3 linked regions of the Lepisosteus oculatus genome follow. The protein of the gene in region 1 interacts with the protein of each later gene in a biochemical or structural test. Links are inferred from orthologs where the notes say so. Each region holds a gene or a part of one and is shown in the gene's direction. Other genes may lie near its edges. The genes, in order: stat3, ptpn1 and mtor.

What was found.
Region 2: of the proteins of stat3 (region 1) and ptpn1, one has a biochemical effect on the other in vitro, tested with the Homo sapiens proteins (2 studies listed by BioGRID and IntAct). The link is inferred for Lepisosteus oculatus from reciprocal best matches to the Homo sapiens genes STAT3 and PTPN1.
Region 3: the proteins of stat3 (region 1) and mtor form a complex in vitro, tested with the Homo sapiens proteins (2 studies listed by BioGRID, with this or other methods). The link is inferred for Lepisosteus oculatus from reciprocal best matches to the Homo sapiens genes STAT3 and MTOR.

The regions. Positions count from the first base shown.
Region 1 is NC_090723.1:4,842,189-4,849,101, forward strand, and holds the start of stat3 (signal transducer and activator of transcription 3), read left to right. Parts: upstream 1-3,824; 5' UTR 3,825-4,066; intron 4,067-4,503; exon of another isoform or gene 4,504-4,692; intron 4,693-5,181; exon of another isoform or gene 5,182-5,297; intron 5,298-6,913. UniProt on the Homo sapiens protein: Signal transducer and transcription activator that mediates cellular responses to interleukins, KITLG/SCF, LEP and other growth factors. Once activated, recruits coactivators, such as NCOA1 or MED1, to the promoter region of the target gene.
Region 2 is NC_090711.1:12,095,009-12,102,205, forward strand, and holds the start of ptpn1 (tyrosine-protein phosphatase non-receptor type 1), read left to right. Parts: upstream 1-4,114; 5' UTR 4,115-4,309; coding exon 4,310-4,378; intron 4,379-7,197. UniProt on the Homo sapiens protein: Tyrosine-protein phosphatase which acts as a regulator of endoplasmic reticulum unfolded protein response. Mediates dephosphorylation of EIF2AK3/PERK; inactivating the protein kinase activity of EIF2AK3/PERK.
Region 3 is NC_090720.1:2,864,051-2,871,309, reverse strand, and holds the start of mtor (serine/threonine-protein kinase mTOR), read left to right. Parts: upstream 1-4,185; 5' UTR 4,186-4,243; coding exon 4,244-4,279; intron 4,280-6,220; coding exon 6,221-6,382; intron 6,383-6,691; coding exon 6,692-6,800; intron 6,801-6,961; coding exon 6,962-7,194; intron 7,195-7,259. Other genes in the region: ubiad1 (ubiA prenyltransferase domain-containing protein 1), read right to left, coding at 263-750, 1,049-1,604. UniProt on the Homo sapiens protein: Serine/threonine protein kinase which is a central regulator of cellular metabolism, growth and survival in response to hormones, growth factors, nutrients, energy and stress signals.

The DNA.
Region 1 (6,913 bases):
AATGGGAAACTGTAAGTATGTAGAGCTGCTCTTGAGGACTGCCTGAAACTGACACAGTGACTAGGGCCTGGGGCCCAGAATATAATGGGCTCCAGTTCTTAATGAAGACACTACTGTCCTTTTCCAGACAAGTCTTTCCCAGCCTCACCAGTCACCCCAAATGTTTAAACAGCTACCACTGTAACAGGGGCTTAAACTGCACTGTAGATGTAGATGTAGCACATATTCTCAGTTTTGATTAATGCTACAGACCCTTGATTGAATTGAGTTTTTGTTGACTCATCTTCTGAGGTCTGCGAAGGAGTTCAACCTTGAATTGTTTGAAAGAGTCTAAAGTTATCTTCGTCATTGCAGTCTAAGCTGTAGTTAGGCGTCAAAGTGAGTTACAACACAGAACGTCACATATGGAACGGCTTTGAATTTTAAGTGTACCTGTGCACAGAGTGTCACGTCATAGTCTAGTTAGTCACATGCATCACCATTTGAAAGTCATAAACAATACATCCGTTTAAAAGGCCGATCCTTAACAGAGGCCTGTTTGCAGTAAGGAAGTGAGAACACAATGCCAAAGGGAGGTAACTGCTTTTAAACAGGACACAATCTGACAGCCGATCTTTTGATTAGCTTTACTGGAATGCCATTTGTATTGCGATGCTGTTGCCAAGTCTGAATAGGAAACCTGCTGATTCTTGTAGCGCTTGTTGGTTAGCTTCTAAGTCCGGAGAGAAGCAGCTGCTCATCACTATGGTAACAGAAGACACGAAATCACTCACCCGCAGCTGGGCACAAAAACCAGACCTCAGACTTCGTTTCACCTGAGACAAACTGGCAATATTTTACACTTCTTCTTCTCCTGCTTGTTGAAACCAGACAGAATGAAAAAGTAGAAAGGGGTGAAGCAGATTTCACACTGTGTCCTACTGTAAATGCTTTCATAAACAGTAAAACAAAGTCAGATCATTTGAAAGAGAAAGTATTAATTTTATTCTGGGAATTCATCTGTTTTAATCCGTCTGTTTCCTGAGATTATATAACACAGATCCTACCAGCACTTACTGTTTGGTCAGCCTGGTTTAAAGCTGGTTCACAAAAACCTATTTTTGCCTTCAAACTGGCTATAGCCTTTGGTTAGCAAAGCACTCGTTTTTTATATCTAAAGTGAGAGAAATATATATGGTTCATGAATAAATTTGATATTAAATAGCGTGGCACCTCTGATGGTGCGAATGGAAACTTTGATAGACACTGTGGGAGTTTGTTTCACAGGTTGCCCACCATAACCGCCATTGTTTCATTTAAGCTACTCCTTCCTTAGAGGAAATGCACCGTGTGTCAAGGCTGAATTCTTTCAGATGAAAACTGTAACTTAAATCCCTTTGCTTTTGTTTTTTTCTGTTTTGGTTGACTGGGGCTAAATAAAACAAATCTTGAACAAGCAATGTTTGGGAAATCAAAGCACCCGCACTGTCAGAACTGGACGTCTGTGATGTAAGTCCACACGCAAGGTATTTCTACAGTATCTATGTGTACAGTACATGTCATATCTCACTTGGCATGTCAGTTTGGAGTGCCAGCTGGGAGACAGCAGCTCGTATGTGCAAACCAACAGAATATTTAAGAATAATTGTTACGCTTATATAGCCCTTTTGTGGACAGGTAATGGGGATCCCCTCCACCACCACCAGTGTGCAGCCCTACCTGGATGATGTGACAGCAGCCAGAGTGAGCATGTACACTCCCCACACACCAGCTCTCACTGGGGAGGAGAGCAGAGTGATGAAGCCAATTCCTAGATCGGGATTATTAGGAGGCCATGATTGATAAACCCCGGGATTTTTAATGAGGACAGAGAGTCAGGACCCCAGTTTTGTGTGTCCCCATCACTATACTGGGGCATTAGGATCCACACAGATGGCAGGGTGAGTGCCCCCTACTGGGCCCATTAACACCTCTTCCAGCAGTAACCTCAGCTTTCCCAGGAAGTCTCCCATCCAGGTACTGGCCAGGCGTCAGTAGGTTGCAGTTGTGATATATCTACCGGTCCCATGGCATTCGTAATCCTACATTCCTGGGTTTGACTATAGGCGTGGATGCCTTCTGTGTTTAGTTGGCATGTTTTCCAACGATCACATGGGTTTTCAGCAGGTGCTATAGTTTGCCTGGCTGAATTGCTCATTTCATGAGGAGGAAGTGTGATGCCCCATCCTCCAGGGAAAACTCCCCCACAATGCCAGAGCCCAACATAGAAGGGACATGTATTGAGTAGAAAGGCAATGACTTCGTCCGTTGGCAGCAGACTGGGTTCCCATCTGGAATGAAGTCATGGGAACTCAGACCAGACCAGACCAGGGGTGAGCAACACTGCCTTACAGGATGGCCGCACGCCAACTGACTGTAATAATAATAATAATAATAATAATAATAATAATAATAATAATAATATCGCTTTATTAGCCCTATACAATTTTCTTGCATTAGGAACTTGTCTTTTCACATACCCCAACTTGCTCTCCGTGAGACACACAGACAGGGAGAGAAGCTGGGGGTCAGAGCGCAGGGTCAGACATTTATACAGCACCCCTGGAGCAGTTGGGGTGAAGGGGCTTGCTCAGGGGCCCAACGGAGTAGGATTCCTCTGCCGGCTGCAGGATTCGAACCGGCAACCTTCCAGTCACAGGCACAGATCCTGAGCCACAGAGCCACCGCTCCGCCCCTCTGCCCATCCACTCATTCCTCCCACCACACAAGAGCGCCAAGGAACCTGTGGGGTCTTTGATTGACACAGCAAGGGGAACCCCAGCGGGGACACTGCCAGGGACCTTACAAACCCTTCTATATGGCCTTTCTGCTTTTATAGAAAACCACTTGCTCTGACATTTTTCAACAGTTTCAGCTGCTTAAAATGACATAAGTCTGGGAGCAGCAGAAATAGCTTGTTATTGTGTGAACTGGACTGTTTTAACAATACCCCACAGCTTTCCGGATAAACTTTGCTGTTAACTTAAGGAGAAAAATCAGAAAAACTGAAGGCAGGACATCTCCCTACCAAAAAGACTGGATACCCCCCAACAGTACAAATGTACATGCAGTGCAGACATCCATCTGGAAAATGACACCCCCCCACCTCCTCTTCCTTCAACTTCAACTTCCTTCAAATAACCCTTCACTGTGTCACTTCTGGTTTGTGCCTGTTCAGAAAAGTAAAAACTTCGGACTATCTGATTATCAAAGGGCGTCTATTATGCGTAGAATGTGGAGTTTAGAATAGAATATGGAGTTCTTACTAGAGACATTTATTAAAAAGCATACCAACGGGAAATACAGGAAAAGGAAATAAAGAAGACTGATAGGTAAATTGTCATTGCCTTCTAAATATATGTTTGATGATTCATTTAATAGCTTTCTAGCTATTTAGTTCCTTTCATTAGCAATAGCTCACTCAATGCTCTTAAAAATCCAGTTTTCATTTGTCTTATTAAACTGCATGTGACGTAATCACTGCCAGTAACTCAGATGATTTCCAGCCGCGCTGTTCCAGGCACTGTTACACCTTCCCTCCGCTGCAGCCTTTTTAAAGAAGGGATTCTTTTGAAGTTCGACGGAAGCACAAGAGGGAGGTAAGATTTTATTCTAGAACGGCGGTGAGGGCGTGAATTATAAACACTGCGATGTCGCGCACAGTCTAACCTTAGGCTTTCTGTCCCCGCCCCCTTTTGGGTTTTTGGAGGTGCTGATTGGATGAGATATTTACACCTTTATGAATAATTAAGTAACAGGAAAGGATTCTCCACGGTTATTGGACCAAGGAGCTGTTTCCTGCTACTGGGGTTAGGTTGTCTCCAATGCTGGCAGAGGAAATACTTAACAACAGCGATTTTTCAGCAGCCATCGAGTTTGGGAAAGTTAGAGGAAAAACTGAAAAGCGAAGTTAGGGAATAAGGCAAACTGTTAGCACTTCAGACTGATTCTGTCCTTTATAAAAAGATTAATTCTCGCTTTTAGCATTTCTGTGAGGAAACAGTTACGGGACCTTGATTTTTCAAGAGGACCTCCAGTGAGAAATCAGGTAAGGGGCTCTTGTGTAATTGTTACGATTTGGCCAGTTTTTTTTAAAAAAAAAACCCTTGTTTATAACAACAAACCCGTAATCTCGGATTAAGGTCTGCTTCGCGTATGACGGGTTTTCTGCATTGAAGATGAGGGATGTGTAAAGATTTAAAAGCCACACGCTTTTGCATGACTCACACCAGACGAGTCAGAAACACAGAAGCGCAAAAAGCGGACCGCTCGGCGAGAGACCCGGGGATGCGCGTTTCCAAACCTGAGCGAAAGCGAAAGAAATGGCCAACGTCGTTGATTTGAAAAAGCACGTTTTTTTGTGTTTGTCCCCACCCCCTCTCTCGATTGAGATTTTATTGATTTTCCCCGTGTCTGGCTGCAGTGCGATAATTTCAAGGGAGGTGAGCCCAGCAAGGCGACAGTGGCGTGTTTCTGAGCGCTTACCTGCGCGTACGAGTGAACCCCCACACCTGGCGAGCTTGTTCTGGTATGAGCTGTCTGTAGTCTCATCAATGGAAATGCCTGTTCTGGGTGAATGCCCACTTTCAAAATTACTCCGTAAAGATCCCCCTCATTTGAAATTTAAAACCCCTTAAGGCTCGATAAATGAGAAGTCATTCCACATGTCATGGTGTGTACTGTAACCGGCATTCAGCCAAGTCGGTGCCAAGACCCGGGGAGTTTTTATATTACCATATACTAGAACTGCGTTGAAGAGATTCCGGAACTGAATGGGGTTCCGGCACCCTGATTGGGGGGAAAAAAAGAAATATGATGAGATATATGTTTTTTTGAAATGATAAAGGGTAAGTTTCAGTTCATCTTTCAAGTTGTCCGCGTAAAACCGTGTTTTTCGTGAGGAAGTCTGCAGAAGTGGGTTTAGCTTCATTGACGATTTTCTTTGCACGAACACTTGTGTGTGTGTGTGGATAAATATTAAACACATTTCCTGGTAGAGAAGAGGCGAGCTCAAAGAACAGTCCGACAGGTCGGAGAGTTTTCTGTTCACTTGTGATTCATCTGTTAGCATTACGCAATGCTTTTGCAGCGAAAGAGAACAGTCGGTGTCAGATCGACTTCCTCGCTGGGCTAAATCGAGCTTCGTTCTCGCTTGCTGTGGTGAACGGTTCCGATGACATTAAAAGGCTATATATTTTTTTTTAGTAATCAAAGTTACAAAGTAACACCTTCAGAAACGTTTTGGAATTCTGGCTTTCATTTTTACGCGCAGAACGGAGGTGAGATCATGACTAATGCTTAAGAAAAACTCACTTTCCTTCATCCACCAGGAGTTCAAAAGGGCTGGTTGTTGATTATTTCGACACCCCTGCTAAAACCCTAAAAATAAAAGGACGGTCACTTAACGTCTACGTTTATTTTTGGTTATGCAACCAAATAGTTTAGGTAAGGCTTTGTCTTCTGTGTTTTGGTTGGTTAGAGATCCATACCCGTTCTTTAGTACTTGCAAACTGTAAGAAACCGGATTTATGTTTTGCAGAGGTGAGGTGACGCCTTTGAACCGTGTGCGTAGTTTCACGGTGCTTTGGGTCAGCTCTGATTTTTGGAGGAGGCTGAGACGAGCAAATCGATCGCAGTTCTTCAGCTTTAAAGACGCGCTCGTTTCCACGGCCTGAGCATGTGTTGTGGTAGCTCGATAAATGAGGTGCTAGGTTCGGCCCTTTGAAGTGGCTGGGAAGGGGAACTCTGCCTTACACCTAAGCTCGCTGTGATCAGCACAGGTACCTGCTCGCCGGCTCGGGTGGATGTACACGCGAGTAGGCTTCATGACAGGCTTGGGAATTTCCTCTCTGGCAGCCTGAAGCACGTAGCTGAAGGTCGAGAATTTTTCTTTTACCAGAGAATGGAACTGTAGCGGAGGTTTGGAAAAGCTGGGGGGGGGTCCTTTGCACCCGATCTCCGTGCTGCAGGGTGGCCAGTCTCCACTCGTGAGCGTTGCCGTGCTTGAGCAACGAGTCGTCCATTGACACGGGTGATAGTGAGTGGGTGTGTGTGTTGGGGTGGGATACTTCCACTTGCCGTTCAAGAAATGACTTGGGCTTAGAGTCTGCGCAGATCCCACTCTTTTAGCATAAAGCATGGTCTGAGTTTTCCCAGATTTCCACTTTTCCACTCTCGCTCTGCATCAGGCATGGAAGACGCTTGGAGAAAGTGGGCTCGTTGAAGTCTGCAGGGCTTGATAAAGGTTCCTCTCCGCCTGGTGGGCGGCCAGTACTCGCTGATCAGTATGTGATCATTATTTTGTCGAAGCTGTCTTACACAGGAAGCTGCTTGTATTGATGAGGTCTAAATGCAGAGGTCTTTGCTCTGGTGTGGGCATTCCACTCAACATCTCTTCAGCACTGCACACTCTCAAAGATGTGCTGTTCTTTTGTGATGCCCGTTTAAGTGCTACTTGACTGAGCTACAGAGCTTGATGGCTTAGACTGCATTTTAAAATCAGGTGTTGCGATGGCTTGGTCTTTTTGCCTTTCAGCTCGTCACCGTGAAGGATCAGTAAAGGATTATACTAGAGGTGTGTTTCATAATGTCTTCGTCAGCCTGACATTTTGTTTTCAATATTCTGTGGTTTATCAATGACTTCACCTGCAATTGCCCCTGCATCCCTGTCTCTTCCTCTTTCTTCTCAGCTCTCATCTTCTCCCACTCCCACGCCTCCTTGGTGAAGTGGACTGTGTGCTTAAATGCACCCTTGTTTGAACCTGTCAGCTGTTCCACCACTATCCGAGTGCTTAAGTAGTGCTTTAAAAGTGAATTTTGCCAGCTGAAGCAGAAGGGCCCCACTCTGTTAGCTGAGTGAATAGATGCATGGAAAAGGTTTCTTGCTAACATTCTG
Region 2 (7,197 bases), on another chromosome or scaffold:
GGTCATTTAAAATCTTACACAGGCCACAGAGAAAGTGTATTCTAAGAGTTACATAAAAATTTATTTTTGGCATGTCTTCCTCAAATATGTTAATCATCCTTATTCTAGGCTTCCAGCATAATTACAGTAACGTATCTTGAAATACTTTACAGGTTCAGTCATGCATTGTCTTGTAGTAAATGTAGGGCTCTAAGTGCTACCACTGTACTGCCCCATAGAGAACTCAAGCAGTAACACCTCTAAGACCGTCATATTGTTAAGAGAAAACACGCATTATAGCAATAAATTTAAAGATGGGATTAGATTCTTTGTCTTTCTAAATACAGGTTGTGTTTTTGACAGGCACTTTTTCTAAAACTGAGAAAGAAATTGATGAACTAGGCTAGGTGAGTCTTCAGGCTACGAATTTACATCCAATTTTACTGCAATCTATTCCCTCCAAATTGCAATGGTGACAGAAATACATATCATAAGGAAAAGGGGAAGAAATTTGCTTTGCCTTTCGGCTTAGGCTTTTTTCTTTTCATGCTGGCTGTCGGATCAAATTATCTGCACGGCGAAAATCCCAAGTGTCATCTACAGGAGCCCAGCACGTTGGCTTCCAGTTCGAAGGTGGGACCCTCCTAAATTCACTGAGCACGTGGGCAGCTTATGTGTCCACTTGCTGAATTCGGACAGAGTGCGATAGGCAGAGCAGGATACAACAGCGTCTGGCTTGTGCTGAAGCCTAGCTGCGCCGTTTCTCAGTCCAGGCAGAACTAGATAGGCTTATATCAATGAACAGCACTGTGGAACAGCAGGAGGAAGTATTGGAACCACGTCTCTAAAATTAGTTAACTCATAAGGAGTAACTAAGGATAAAGCAGAGTTCAAGAAAAATTGATAAAGCACCGCTGTGTTTCATCAATTACTATCCTGAGAGCCTATCCACAGAACGCAAATATGTTGCAGAGCCTACACAAACATGCACACACTCACACCAGGTTCAGCCTATTTTACAGGAGCCAGTTAACCCACCAGCATGTTGCTGGATTGTGGGAGGAAACCATAGCAGTCAAGCAATCTTGCACAAATGGAGAGAGAACAAGCAAACTCCACTCAGATAGCACTTTGGATCTGGCATTGAACCCAGTGCTGTGAAACAGCAATGCTACCCACTGCACCATCATGCCACATTTTTCAGTAAATCATTTACTACATGAATAATGTATTATTATATAGATATGGGAATCAAATAAAAGTCTGGCAGTTTGTGTGTCTTCCACACAGTAAAGAGAGTTATCGTGGTTCTGGTCAAGCAGGCACATTTGTATTACTTTTCCTGTTTTCCAGATAATTAAAACTGAACTTGACATCATGTTAAGATCGTGATTTAATATACCAATGTATTTTGCCACTGCTGCAATATCGTTATTGCTCTTTGTTTCCTAAAGGAAACTATGATGGTACAATGTTTTGTCTTGGAGAAATAATGGTTACTGGAAGAGACTTATCCCAGTGAACAGGAATGAACTGGTGTTTGGGTGAGATATTATCAACAACGTGTAATACTTTCAACAAGAATGTCTTGCATATAAACAATGCTTTTCAGCCCAATAGATTACTAAGTACTCCACAGATAAGAGGGAACTTCATATCCATCTCTGTGGTGCCATGCAGCAGGCATTTTGCACTGGGAGTTTACTACTGTGTACAAATTCCTTTCTGTGGCATTAGATACGGTTCTGAAAAGCAAGTATAGTCCGTAAACTGACTTCTAATGGAGCTGTGCAGATTTTAAATTATGTGGCCTTTTTGAACACCTGTACTATGTTAACTATGCATTGTTAACAGATACAATTTGATATACAAACGAATGTGTTCATAGTATAAAACACCAGAGGGCACTATGTCAGCTTTTCCAACCATTTGCATCTTTGATGGCTTGCACATCTATTGGTAGTCACCTCTGAAGGTAGTGCTTACCAGATTTAATTGATTCACTAATCCACAGTGCACAATTATTCGAATAACCAAGTTAAGTTTATAACCTTATTTAATATCACATTTCTGTGCTGAAAACCTGTTGTGCATTCCCTTAAAATGACCTTCCTTATGGTTGGGGGTCATGTCGTCCTTATCCAGTGGCACTGTGCCTGAGCTTTGTGTTTGTGCACAGTAGCATCAGCAACAAGCCCGTCACACTTTTGCTTCCAATATATTTTATAGCATGTGTAGCTGTACTCATTAAAAAAAAAACATGCAGACGAGCAACTCATTTTAACCAATTGCATTTCTTTGCAGAGAATAATAAGCATTTTAAAATGAAGACTACTTTTATATCAATGTAATGGCTAATTGTTTTTTTTCTCTACAATAAAGTAAATGCCACTTTATGTTGTAATCTTGAGATGTGCAATAAATTACTGCGCGTTTGGAACAATTTGGCTTTTTAAAAAATGATAGTACCTTCTGCAATTTTCATCTTTGTAAGTTAAAACAGGAAATATCATATCTGACACTGTCCAAAGAAGGTATTGAAAGCAACTTTATTTTACATTGGTCAAAGTAAAAAAAAAACTACACACTTCATGTTTCAGGTCCACTTGACCTCAGTCATTCTAAAAAGGTTCCCTTTGCCATTTTACTTGAGTCTACGTGAGGACATTTGGGTAGTATTTCAGCTATGTTGATCCCACTGCCCCAGATTTGCTCTCTATTTTGCTAAATCGGGGCTTGATGCAATCAGGCTCCTTAATTACTTGAGTGATCCTGACGATTGTCAATACAATAATTAAGGAGCTGGTTCCAGCTCAATCAATCGAGCTGGAGGGTCTGCAGGAGGTCATGTCATCTTGCTAAAGGTTGCACTCTTCTCGGTCGACTGCCTTTGCTCAAGTCCCAGACTTTCCATACCTGAGAGTCACAAGCCTGCATGATATATATTATTCATTATAAACTGCCTGGACCAGACTAGTTTTGACAAATGAGATCCCTCATTGTAGAATCTTTAAAGGTATTTTCCCTTTTCTTATTATTACACACTATAAAAGCCTGTTCATTTTGCTCCAGGGGACATAAATCAACATGAAAAAGGACGTTTGAAATAGATGACAAATCCCTTTTGCTTAAGGCAATATCCTTTTGTTTTTACGAGTTTCATTTTTTTCTAATCGTTGCGAAAGGGATTAAACATTAAGCGAGCGAATGAGGGACGGGAAACTGGATTTAATCTAGACGTTTACAAATATTATTCTCAACAACAGGTCCAACAAGACCGATGCTAATTTGATTTTAGAATGATCGGATGCGGATCAGAAACAGTAGTAGTAGTGTCGCATTATAAAGCGAATAAAGACTAACTTTAATTAAAATGAAACTGAAATTGTTTTAAGTGTTATTTTTACTTTAGGAGAACATATTTTGTAAAAAAAAATTGAAGTTCGGCATTATTTATACTACAACCTACTACAGTAGCATACCAGCATACTACAACCCTCACAGCGGGTCGGAGTCAGTCACGTGGTCTGGGCTGCACGGATGTTTTTAAAACTGGTAAAAACACCCATCCAGTGTCACAAAATAATTAAAACCTAATAAAAGCTAATATTCTTTCTGGACATTTTAAAGACGATGGGTAAAGAATTAGGCACGAGTTGACAACTGCCGGATTAGCCGAGTAGTCAAATATTGCTACCTTTTAACTTTTTTATTTTTGAAGAACTTTAACAGCATTTGGTGTCTACGCTATACGCTATGCTACGTATCTATATATACTCAACGTGTTTTAATAAAACAAAGTATGCGAGTGCTGTATATAATATGTCGGTGTCCTGCAATATTATCAAGACCTTAAAGATCGTCGGTAAGGGCCTAGGAGTATCATCTTCGTTTCTGTTATGTTTCCACCAACTTGACAGCTACAACAGTATTAATTATAGCTGCAAATCCGTATTGTTTCTAATATATAAACTACAAGTCCCAGAAAAACTAGAGCCCTCACTCCTCGCCTCCTGTTTGGCCCGCTGGGAACCCCGCCCCTCCGGGAAACGCTGATTGGCTCCCCCACTCACAGTTCCGCGCTTCCTGCGACACGATTGGCCATGTAGCGGCGGTGTGGGCGTGTCCCGTGAATGCGGAGGGACAGTCTCGGTGCGGGGAGGCGCAAGCGGCGTGTTTCCGGTTAGAACAGGCCAGGAAACAACTGAAAAGAATACATTAAATCTATATGCTGGACAAGAAAAAGGAGCGATCGGGGTTTGTAATTAGTTAGGCATCGGCTGTCAATTTAATCGTTTTTTACCGGGAGGGAGCTGGGAGAGAGGGCGGTATGAGCACGGCAGTGGAAGCCGAGTTTCGGGAAATCGATGAGTCCGGGAGCTGGAGCGCCATTTACCAGGTAGGTGTTGGGGCAAACCGAGGTAGCGATAGGGGTGTAGAAGGCAGCGACAGGAGTAATTCGAGCAGGCTCGTTGCTAATCTGCCGCGATAGATTAAAGAAGGAGGGGATATCCCGGGTTTTGGCGCTGGCTTGGAGCTCAAAGTAATCTCGGATGTGCCGCGTTAGCCGGAGCGAACTGGTCCAACTAACACGGTGATCCCCAGCTACGTTGGTCCGGAGGCGAAGAGACTTTAAATAACTGGGAAGCCACGACAACGTGGATAGCCGAAAAGGGCTGATATTTGCTGATTTTGCCACTGGACGTGTAGTCGATTCGGAGAACGCGCGATTTAAAAGGATAAAATGCTTAATCCCTTCCCCTCTGCTTAAAAGTGATTTTCTTTAGTTTTCCAATGTGCTCGAGTTCGTGGAAGATGTCCACATGCCCACGAAGTACACTGCTTTCGCTACAGTACGTGACTTCTTGGCTTTCACACACGTGTGTCAGATTGTAAGTGGTCTTTTCACACCTGGAAATGAGCATTATTTATACATGCGCTGAACAAGGCACGCTGTGATGAGCTGCGCTGACACAACACATGTATTTGTAATGTGGCCGGAAAACCCCCTCTCTACATGAACTCCCTGAATTTAATTTACTGCAGCGCGACACGGTGTCTTTTTTCTGAGAAATGTAATTTAATATGTAAATTAAAGTCGCCCACTGCGGGGGGGTAAAACAAACTCCGATAATTTAGTTTTCAAACCTAGAAAGGTGTCGGCAACCTATATGTAAAAAACTATATTAGTCTTCTGTTTCGGTAATGTTATGTTTTAAGATTATTCCGAGTGTTGTTTCTTTGCACCCCAAAACACGATTTCGACCTTACTTTTTAACGTTAACGGTAGCGGCAGTTTCAGGAAATAAAACTGTATTGTACTACACATACAGCACGCCGGGGCCCTAGCAGAAGATATCGGTATTAATAACTCGTTAACTTAAGACTGAGGATCCCCACTTCCAAATGTAAAAATTGCCATGTGTATTTGGAGCATCATAGTTCCCTTTGCGGTTCGAAGGCTTTGCAAGTCGTTGATAATGTAGATCGGTTTATTGTGCAATCAGTCGTTCTGATGCGAGCCTGTTCTGTGATATGCGGAAAAGAGGAAATGGCTAATGACTGTTAATTGCTAAGCAAGTATTAGCCCAAACCCAAAATATTTTATTCATCACTCGGGACTTGAGTCACTAGCCAAAAGTGTTTTGTTTTTTTTACTACAAATTTAATAATCAGTACAACAAAGTGAAAAGTAGTATCATTATTCGTCACCTGTTATCTGGGCTCCTAGTATCATTTTAACTCAAGGGAACAGTTCTGAATTTTTTTTTTTACCTGCTCCTTATCAAGCTAACAAAAGCGGAGGTGTGAAATAAAACCTCAAAGTATGACGCATTGGTGCTCCTCTTCAAGCAGCGTTTACAACACAGGACTGTACTATAGAAGACGCTGAGCAGTATCTGTAAACCTTTTAGCATTGCGGTCATGTAAAACATCAAGACATGCGTGAATGACTTCCACTGCCTTTCTGCCATCTAACTCCTGCTATTGCCTTGTGCAGGTGTGTTATGTCTGTTTGTGAAAAGGGTATTGTGCTCACATATAGTGCATACCCGCACCTGAAAGAGCCCAAGACAGGACTCATTAGTTGGCAGTCAGGGCACAGAGTGTCAGTTTATCAAACTTGCAATTCTGACATGTTCTTGAATGGTTGTGGACAGTGGCAGCACAGTGGTTAGCAGTGTTGGGGAGCTCTGGGTTCATGTCTGGACCTGGAGTGCTATCTGTGTGGAGTTTGTATGTTCTCTCCGCGTTTCTGGTTTCCTCCCACAGCTTAAAACATACTGGTAACAGGCCTCTGGGTGTGAGTGTGCGTGTCTGTGTCTGTGCGTGCCCTCAGATGGATTGGCGTCCTGTTCAGAGTGTTGCTTGCTGGGATAGGCTCCAGCTCCCCAGCGACTCTATATTGGAAGAAGTGGTTAGGAAATGGATGGATTTAGACAGGTCTAAGGGAAAGGGAGAAATGCCAGTAGCTTCCCTAAATCTTGGCTGTAATCTGAGATCAATAGGCTTTCAGTTCTCTTCCCTGTCCAAGATTCCTCGCTGTCACCTTTGGAAATCTCTCCCAGCTTTGTCTGGAGCACAGACCACTGTTCACTGTAAAGGTCAGGCGGGAAATGAGAGCTTGCATTGCAATCTGCGTTAGTCCAGCACAGGAACAATGTTCAATAGAAAAGGACCTGAAATGTATTCACTCAACTTTCCTGTGAGTTTAAAAATCTTCTGTGCATTTGACCCACATGTTCATCTTTTTATGTGAATGTATATAATTTTAATGCTAGAAATCTTTAGGATGTCAACTGAAGGAAACTTAACGATCATTTACAAGTTCTCACAGCTGCTTAGAGTTACTTTTATGGATGTATCAGTGGTTAACATGCAGAGAATAGCACAATGTGTTACAATCTCCTAAAGTGTTTACTAACAGTTTTCCCCTCAACAGAAAATGTTAACAAAACAGACTTTTTTTAACATAAAACATTCCTGTTTGGTTCTAGATTATCATCAACACAATTTGGGTAAAAAAACTCACCAGATGCTGAATATTTTTAAATAATGAAACATTGTGGGGTAAATATTTACAACAGGGATAACAGTTTATACTTTCTTTTTCAACATGTCGTTTATAAGACTAAGGTAGTTTTTCATAACTACCTCAGAAAGCATCATATTTCAAAAATACATGTCATTTCAGGTAATGTTCTTTTAGTGAATTGA
Region 3 (7,259 bases), on another chromosome or scaffold:
GTAATCTGCATATATTTCAATTAAGATCAATATGCAGAAAATCACCACGGAGTAAAAAACATTTCAGCTTGGAGAGCAAACAAGCCTGAATGAGATAAAAGGGCAAAGAACAAGACACTTGTCCTATCTATAATAATTGCACGTCCTTCTCTGCACTCATTTGAATTAATGAAATGAAAGCCCTTGATCTTAATAACTCTATAACAAAATACCAACATAAAAAAAAACACGTTTATCAAAATCAATGGAGCTGGGGTGGGGGTTACACTTTTGGCAGGCTCCCTGGAGGTGCCAATATAATACCAAAGACATAGAAGAGTCCCATTAAGAGATTGAGCTTTGCAGTCTTTTGGGGAATCTTGGAGTAGCACTGGCTCCTGAACTGCTTCTCCAGGGGGAAGGCCATGGGCAGGGTCAGCAGGGGCAGCGCCATGCTGATGGTGCAGCGCGTGGCGAGGATGGAGAACAGGATGTAGGGCATGAAGAGCAGCAGGTTGTAGAGCATGTAAGACAGCGTGGGCCCGAGGAGAATGGCCAGCGTCACGATGCCCGCCTGCTGGTCCGAGTCCATGTCCCGCGTGTTGTTGCTGTGCAGGATGGCTTCAGTGTTGAGGGCCAGCGGAATGGCGTAGAGCAGGGGCAGGACGGAGAGGTAGCCCACCTGCGTGGCGTGGGCGAACATGACGGCCAGCGGCCCGAAGGTGATCAGGATCACGACGTCGCCCAGGGCCACGTACTTCAGCCCGATACCTGCGGAGGAGAAGGAAGAGCTGAGACCTGGGTTAACGCTCAGGAGCAGCGGGGACACGTGGCACGGCGAGGCAGGCACAGCGTGCGCCGCACCTGTAGCCACGGATAAAATAACAGGGTCCAAACCATCCATAAAGGCAAATTTAAAACTACTTCCAAAAAAACAGCTCGAGATTTTTTAAGCAGCAACATCTTTTCAAGTCACTATTCCACATCACGAGGATAAAAGTGTTTTTTTTCCCCCAAAAGGGAACTCATAAATGCACTATTGCTACATGACAAATTGTGGGTAATTCACCTCCGGTGTAGAGGAAAGAGCTCGACAGGCCTCCAAAATATATAAGAGCCAGGTGTTCCAGCTTCAGAGTGGACAGAAAATACAGGCAAGTTGCACACAAACATCCCAGGGAGTATAGAACCGCTCCAAACATGACTACATCCTGGGGCTCCAGAATCTGGTCAACCAGTGTCCGGTCATCACTCTTTTTGTGGTCAATCCCTTTGGAGAAGTCATAGTAAGTGTTCACCAAGTTTCCAGCTCCATGAACCACCAGGACGGCCACAGCGCTCACCAGCAGGATCACGAAGTCAAGGGAGCCCTCGGACTTGTAGGCCAGGGCGCCGCCCAGAGCTACCGGAGTCAGAGAGGCACTGAAGCTCCACGGCCTCAGGGCCAGAACGTAAGCAGCGCATTTGTGCTTCATGTCACTTGTCCTGCTGCAGGGTTTTTCCTCCTGGTGGTCCTGGACAAAAACATGTTCCCCCGGATCCCCTCCTCCTCCTGCGCTCCGCCCGTTCGGTCCCGCCAGGACAAAAGTCTCTGACGCAAAGCCGGGTTTCTCCCCCTCCGTCATCCCTGCACCCCGAGGATGAACACCGCCGCCGGGAAATAATCACACGTAGGGATCACCTGAAACAAAGAGCCCAGGGACAGAGGAAGGACAAGCAAAGAAATCACATGAGCAAGCTCCAAACACACTGCCCTTTACTTCTTGCCTCTTCACTCCAATTCTGGGCAAATTTAGATTTTCACTACTTAGAAATTACTGGCAAGAGCAAGTAATACTTTAAAGAATCTTCCTAATGGAAACATTTTGTTGTGTACCACTAAAAATACAATTAGAAAACGAGTTTTAGAGAACAAGCATGCATTTTAATATGATTTAAAAATTCTTGAACAATTTAAACTACTTTAGCCCACTGTATCCACATGAATACAAATTTAATAGATCGGAACAGATTTGGGTTTTCGGGTTTCTGCCCTTGCCACTCCCACCCCAGTTCATTCCTCCACCGCAGGGGCACGAACCCGGGACTAAGGCATCGCTCAACAGGGGTCTTGCCAGCTGAGCTAAAGAAGACCTTCCTCAGCCCAGGTGGCCAAGATCATTGTTGTGCACAGAGGCGTATCCATTTCAATATGTATATATAGGGACAAGTAATAGGTTTATTTCACGCTGAAAAGAGAAGAAAGAAAACACAACGTTTCGGCTGTGGAGCCTTCTTCAGGTGTAAGAAAGACAGGGCAGGCAGCAAAGATAATAGAGCCTGGGAAAACACAAGCCAGGAGAGAGGAGGTGGCAGGAGCAGGGGAGGGGCAGAGTGGCAAACCAAGTGGTGCGAGGTCGAGAGAGGCGAGGAGAGGTGTAAAATGAAACCTACAAATGAACAGAAACTTAGAATAAAACAAGTCTTTCGTTGAAAGAAAGGGGGAAGGTGTGAACCAAGTTTCAGAATCATTTTAGTTTCTGATGACTTTCTGCTATAGAAGTTAAGAAACCTTACTTTGAGAAGTATTAATATATGTATAGGCAAGTCAGTAAAGAATGCCACCCAACATCCTTATTCTTAATAATATTTAAAAAAAGGCTGCTTCAGTACAGGAATCTTAACTTTGGGATGAGCAATGCAATCAAGTTCACTTTTACTATATCCCCTACCGAAGAAAATAAAATAGCAAACGAACAGAGAAAACTATTTGCAAAACAAAGGCGTATTTGTATTTAAGCTACTGTACAAGACATGGACACACAAGCGTATTTCAAAGACATACATGTTGACTGAATACGAAAAATCTTATCTTTTGTATGAGGTTGTGTGAAAGTGAAACAACTACTCCTGAGTGCGTTGGAGAGAGGGGGGAAAAAGTTGAGCTACTTAGTTTCAGGTTAACCTTCCAAAAGCTAAACAAATGAAACGGAGATTGTTATCTGTGCACAGATTTGTGCACAAGTGTTTGACTAAAATTAAAACTAGGCGTTACATGTATTAAAGTTCTCGCTCTGCATGCGGCGTACACCGGCACGACAAATAAAATATCCCGCAACGTACCTGTTGTTTCTGGGTTTAGTCTCTCTAACGCGCTGAAAGTAGCATTCTTCCTCTCCGTCTTCTATAACCGTTACACGGGGACTAATCTTATTTTCGCTACGTGTCAAGTACGAGGATATTTCGTGCAAGCCCTCCACCTGGGCAGCGCCATCTTGTTCCACCGCCCCTTGTGCAACCGAGAAATGTGTCCGACTACCCATCCTGTACCCTTAGTCTCGGTCACCTATTTTAGCAGAACAACGATGCGGTTTTATTCCTTTTGAAAACAATGCCGGGGAAATAAATTATCTAGAAAAGGACATATGTCCCCTAAAGATTGCTCAGCGCTTGTGATCACGCTTAAATCAATCTTAAATCCGACATGTATTTCGGTTTTACTATGTTTTGTTTTCCCAATGATCAAAAAGTTGCTATTGCAGTCGTTGGGCAATAAATGCAATTTAAACATTGGGATTTTCGGCTGCCGCTTCGCTTTTACATATTGTCTCCGATGGCATGAGCGCTGATGTCTTGATTTTTTATTTTTTTTTAAACAAGATTCTTGCTTATATTAAACAGTTGCCATCCAACCAAACTATCCCACACGACAAATGAAAAACCAGCATCCTCAATTTCGTAAATAAAGGCCAAACGTTTTCACATTGGTCCTTTTCTGAAGTTGTTGCAAGTCAATGTTTCGTTTCATTGGATAGCGGGTCCAGTCAATCACTTTCGCGTGTTTTGAATGGGTAGAGTGGTTGTCAATCATCAAATTCTCTTATTTTCATTGGTCAAAATAGAAATCTCTCCAAGGTCTTGGGTCGCCCTCCCAAATTAGGTTGTGATAATCTGAGACTGGTGAGTACTGTTCTTCCTGACTGAAATTATGCGTTTGCTTGGATCATTAAAATAATTTGGTGTTTTTTTGTTGAATAAACGCCAGTTAATTGTGCTTATTGCACTAAGCCTAATACTCAGAGCCTTGGTTTATTTGCATTTAATGATGCGATGTCAGTATTTCAAAGAAGGCTGCTTCAGTACAGGAATCATTTAAGAAAATGCACGACATGGTTTGCTAAGGGACACTGTATTCGTCCACTTTGTCAAAAACGTTAATATCGTTTTAATTCATGCAATACGTTGTGCACCGAAGCCTTTCGTAACACAGTTTTAAGGACGATCGATGCATTTTTTTAAAAGTGTCGCAATCTCGCTTCAGGTAATATAGCCACTTCGTCTATCTTAGAGTATGTTACTATATAAATTAATTATTACTTTACTTATTGGCATTTTAATTCAAATTAGATTCATCATTACGTTATGCCGCTTTTAATACCTTCTCCCCTTGCTGTATATATAGAAAGTGGACCAAACAGGGTCTTTTTTCAGCGATTTGGTTATGAGCCTGAGGTCCGGCTGTGCAGCAGCAATACAAATTCATTCGTCCATTTTTTAACCGGTTCGTCCAGTTCAGGGTCGCGGGGGAGCTGAATCCCATCTCGGCAAGCACAAGGCAGGGTACACCCTGGACGGGACGAAAATCTATGGCAGGGCACCCACTCACACTAGGGCCGAGTTTCCCAGAAAGCAATTAATCACCGCTATGTCTTTGGATTGTGGGAGGAAACCTGGAAGCATGGTTAAGACATTTATTGCATTTACACACTGCCTTTTGTCCTGGAGGGTCAAAAGCACCGTATATTTTTCCCTTTTATTAAGGTTTATTTCTTGAGTTTTTCTGTAATGGATGTGGTAAATACTGGACTAAAGTAAGGATGTACTTTATCTAGAGTGAACTGGATTGCCAATTGTAACTGCCAATTACTTGTTGTTCCAAGACTCCCTTTGAGGACCCCAGATACGTATCTCTCTTCTGCTCAGGTTCCTTAAATTCCTCACAAAAGGTGTTATAAATGGTCATCTGCTTTTCTTCTATTTTTAAGCAGGAACTGTATAAGAGTTTACATCTGTCAGAGTGGCAGGGAGTGAGCACCAGAGTTGTTGAGCAGGGCATCTGAGAGGGTAGTTCAAGACCTGTAGCTGTAAAAAGTGCTGCTATAGCAGAGTGTGAAGCCCTGTTTGGTACCGTACACAGGGAGCAATGAGAGGTGTTGAGTATTTCACGTAGGGCTTTAAAAGTTAACAGTGAAAGTTTGAACTGAAAGTGCTGGGTAGCGGGGGCTTCAGTGAAGACGTGTCAGAATTGGTCACCTTTGAGCATGTTAGAAGTCAAGCAGCTGAGTTTTGGACCAGATGAAGTTTGTTTAGGAGTCAGGTAGGGAGACTAACCCAGCTGAGATGCGATGAAGGCTTGAATCAGGGTTTCTGCAGCAGTGCAGTCAAGAAAAGCCAGCGTGTCTGAGGTGACAGTAAGAGACTTTTCAGGTGTCTTTTATGTGTGTATCAAAACAGAGCTCAGGATCAAACAAGACCCCCAGCTTTCTCATACTTGTAAGGCAGTGATTAAATGAGGTGTAGCTTCCCTGGGATTTATGCACATCACATCAGTTTTTTCTTGTTCTGAATAATAGTGTTGACTAAAAGAAGCCAACCACAGTCAGAACAGTTCTCAGGGACAATCTTTTGAGTCGTGAGGGAATCCACAATCGTTGTAAATATTTTGGGGAGAAACAAGGCTGCCATTGTTTTTGTAGCATTTCAGGTTTCCAAGCTTCCAGTACCTGCAGAAAAGCCAGTACCAGTTTCTTCATGCCTGTTGTGTCATTTTCAGTCTGTCTCGCTTAGACCTCTTATGTGGAATCAAAATAATCTTAAGTATTTCGTTTTCCACTGCATTGACACGGTCTCTTGAAGATCTTCAACTCTTAAAACCAGAAATAATCCAACCACAGTGCAAAGGGACTCATTTTGTTTTCCTAGGAGCAGTTCCAAACATTTTACACATTTGACAACATAGAGATAACTGAGAATTGGTCATAAATAGCTCTGGTGCATATTTTTCCCGTTATTTCCCTTGAAATCATAGCAGCATATAAACAGCATCTTATGGGAAAATATCAATATAGTGTAAATAAGACAGTTCTATACCTCTAGTTTTCAGTCGATGAAGAAAATTCCATTTTCTGCCCCTTTTCAAAAAACAAAACCCCAAAATCCCACCTGAACCGCTGCCAGGAGTGTTGTTTTTTTTTTAATACAGTTGAACGGGGAGGTGGGCGCCCCCTGCTGGACAGCGGCCATCATGTCGGGAACGGCCACCGTCCTGCAGCAGTTCGTCAGCGGCCTGAAGAGCCGCAGTGAGGAGACTCGGGCCAAAGCCGCCAAGGACCTCCAGCACTACGTCACCACCGAGCTGCGAGAGGTGAGGAGACCCGTGGGGTCCCCACTGCCCCTTTCCCCTGCCCGTCACTGGGGGAGGCTCAGGGTGCTGTGTAGCACAGCGTGGTGCGTGTCTCAGTCCTGTTCGAGGAATGAAAGTGCTTTGGACCCAAGAGGGTCGAATTTGATTTATTGCTGGTTTGATTTCAGTTTTCTTAGCGGTTTACAGAATTGATTGATCAAACGAGTCAGCGCTGCTATGGTGGAGGCGGATGTGGCGCACTGTTGAAGGTTCGCCCAGCGCAGGAATGTTAATCCCAGCCCCTTTTCTCGTTGCCGCTGTCTCTCCCAGCTCAGCCAAGAAGAGGCCACCACCTTCTATGACGAGCTGAACCATCATATCTTTGAGCTGGTGTCCAGCTCCGATGTCAATGAGAAGAAAGGAGGCATCCTTGCCATTGGTGAGTCAGTCCTGCGATTTCTGTGTCCGTTCCCCAGGTTTCCTCGAGGAATGAAGAAAACCCCGATACTGACACTACCGAACAGTGTTGTCTGAAACGCAGGTCATCTTATTCCGTAATGGCTGCCGGTGCTGAGCTTCTGTGCCGTTTTCCTCACACAGTGAGCCTGATTGGAGTCGAAGGAGGAAATGCCACGCGAATCAGTCGATTTGCGAACTACCTCCGCAACCTGCTGCCCTCCAGTGACCCGGTGGTCATGGAGATGGCCTCGAAGGCCATGGGCCACCTGTCGATGGCCGGGGACACCTTCACTGCGGAGTACGTGGAGTTCGAGGTCAAGAGGGCTCTGGAGTGGCTGGGGGCGGACAGGAACGAGGGGCGACGGCACGCCGCGGTAAGAGCTTTGCCGCCAGGCCTTTTTTGGCGTTTCACCTCGCGCCTGGAGTGGGCTGCCGCTGG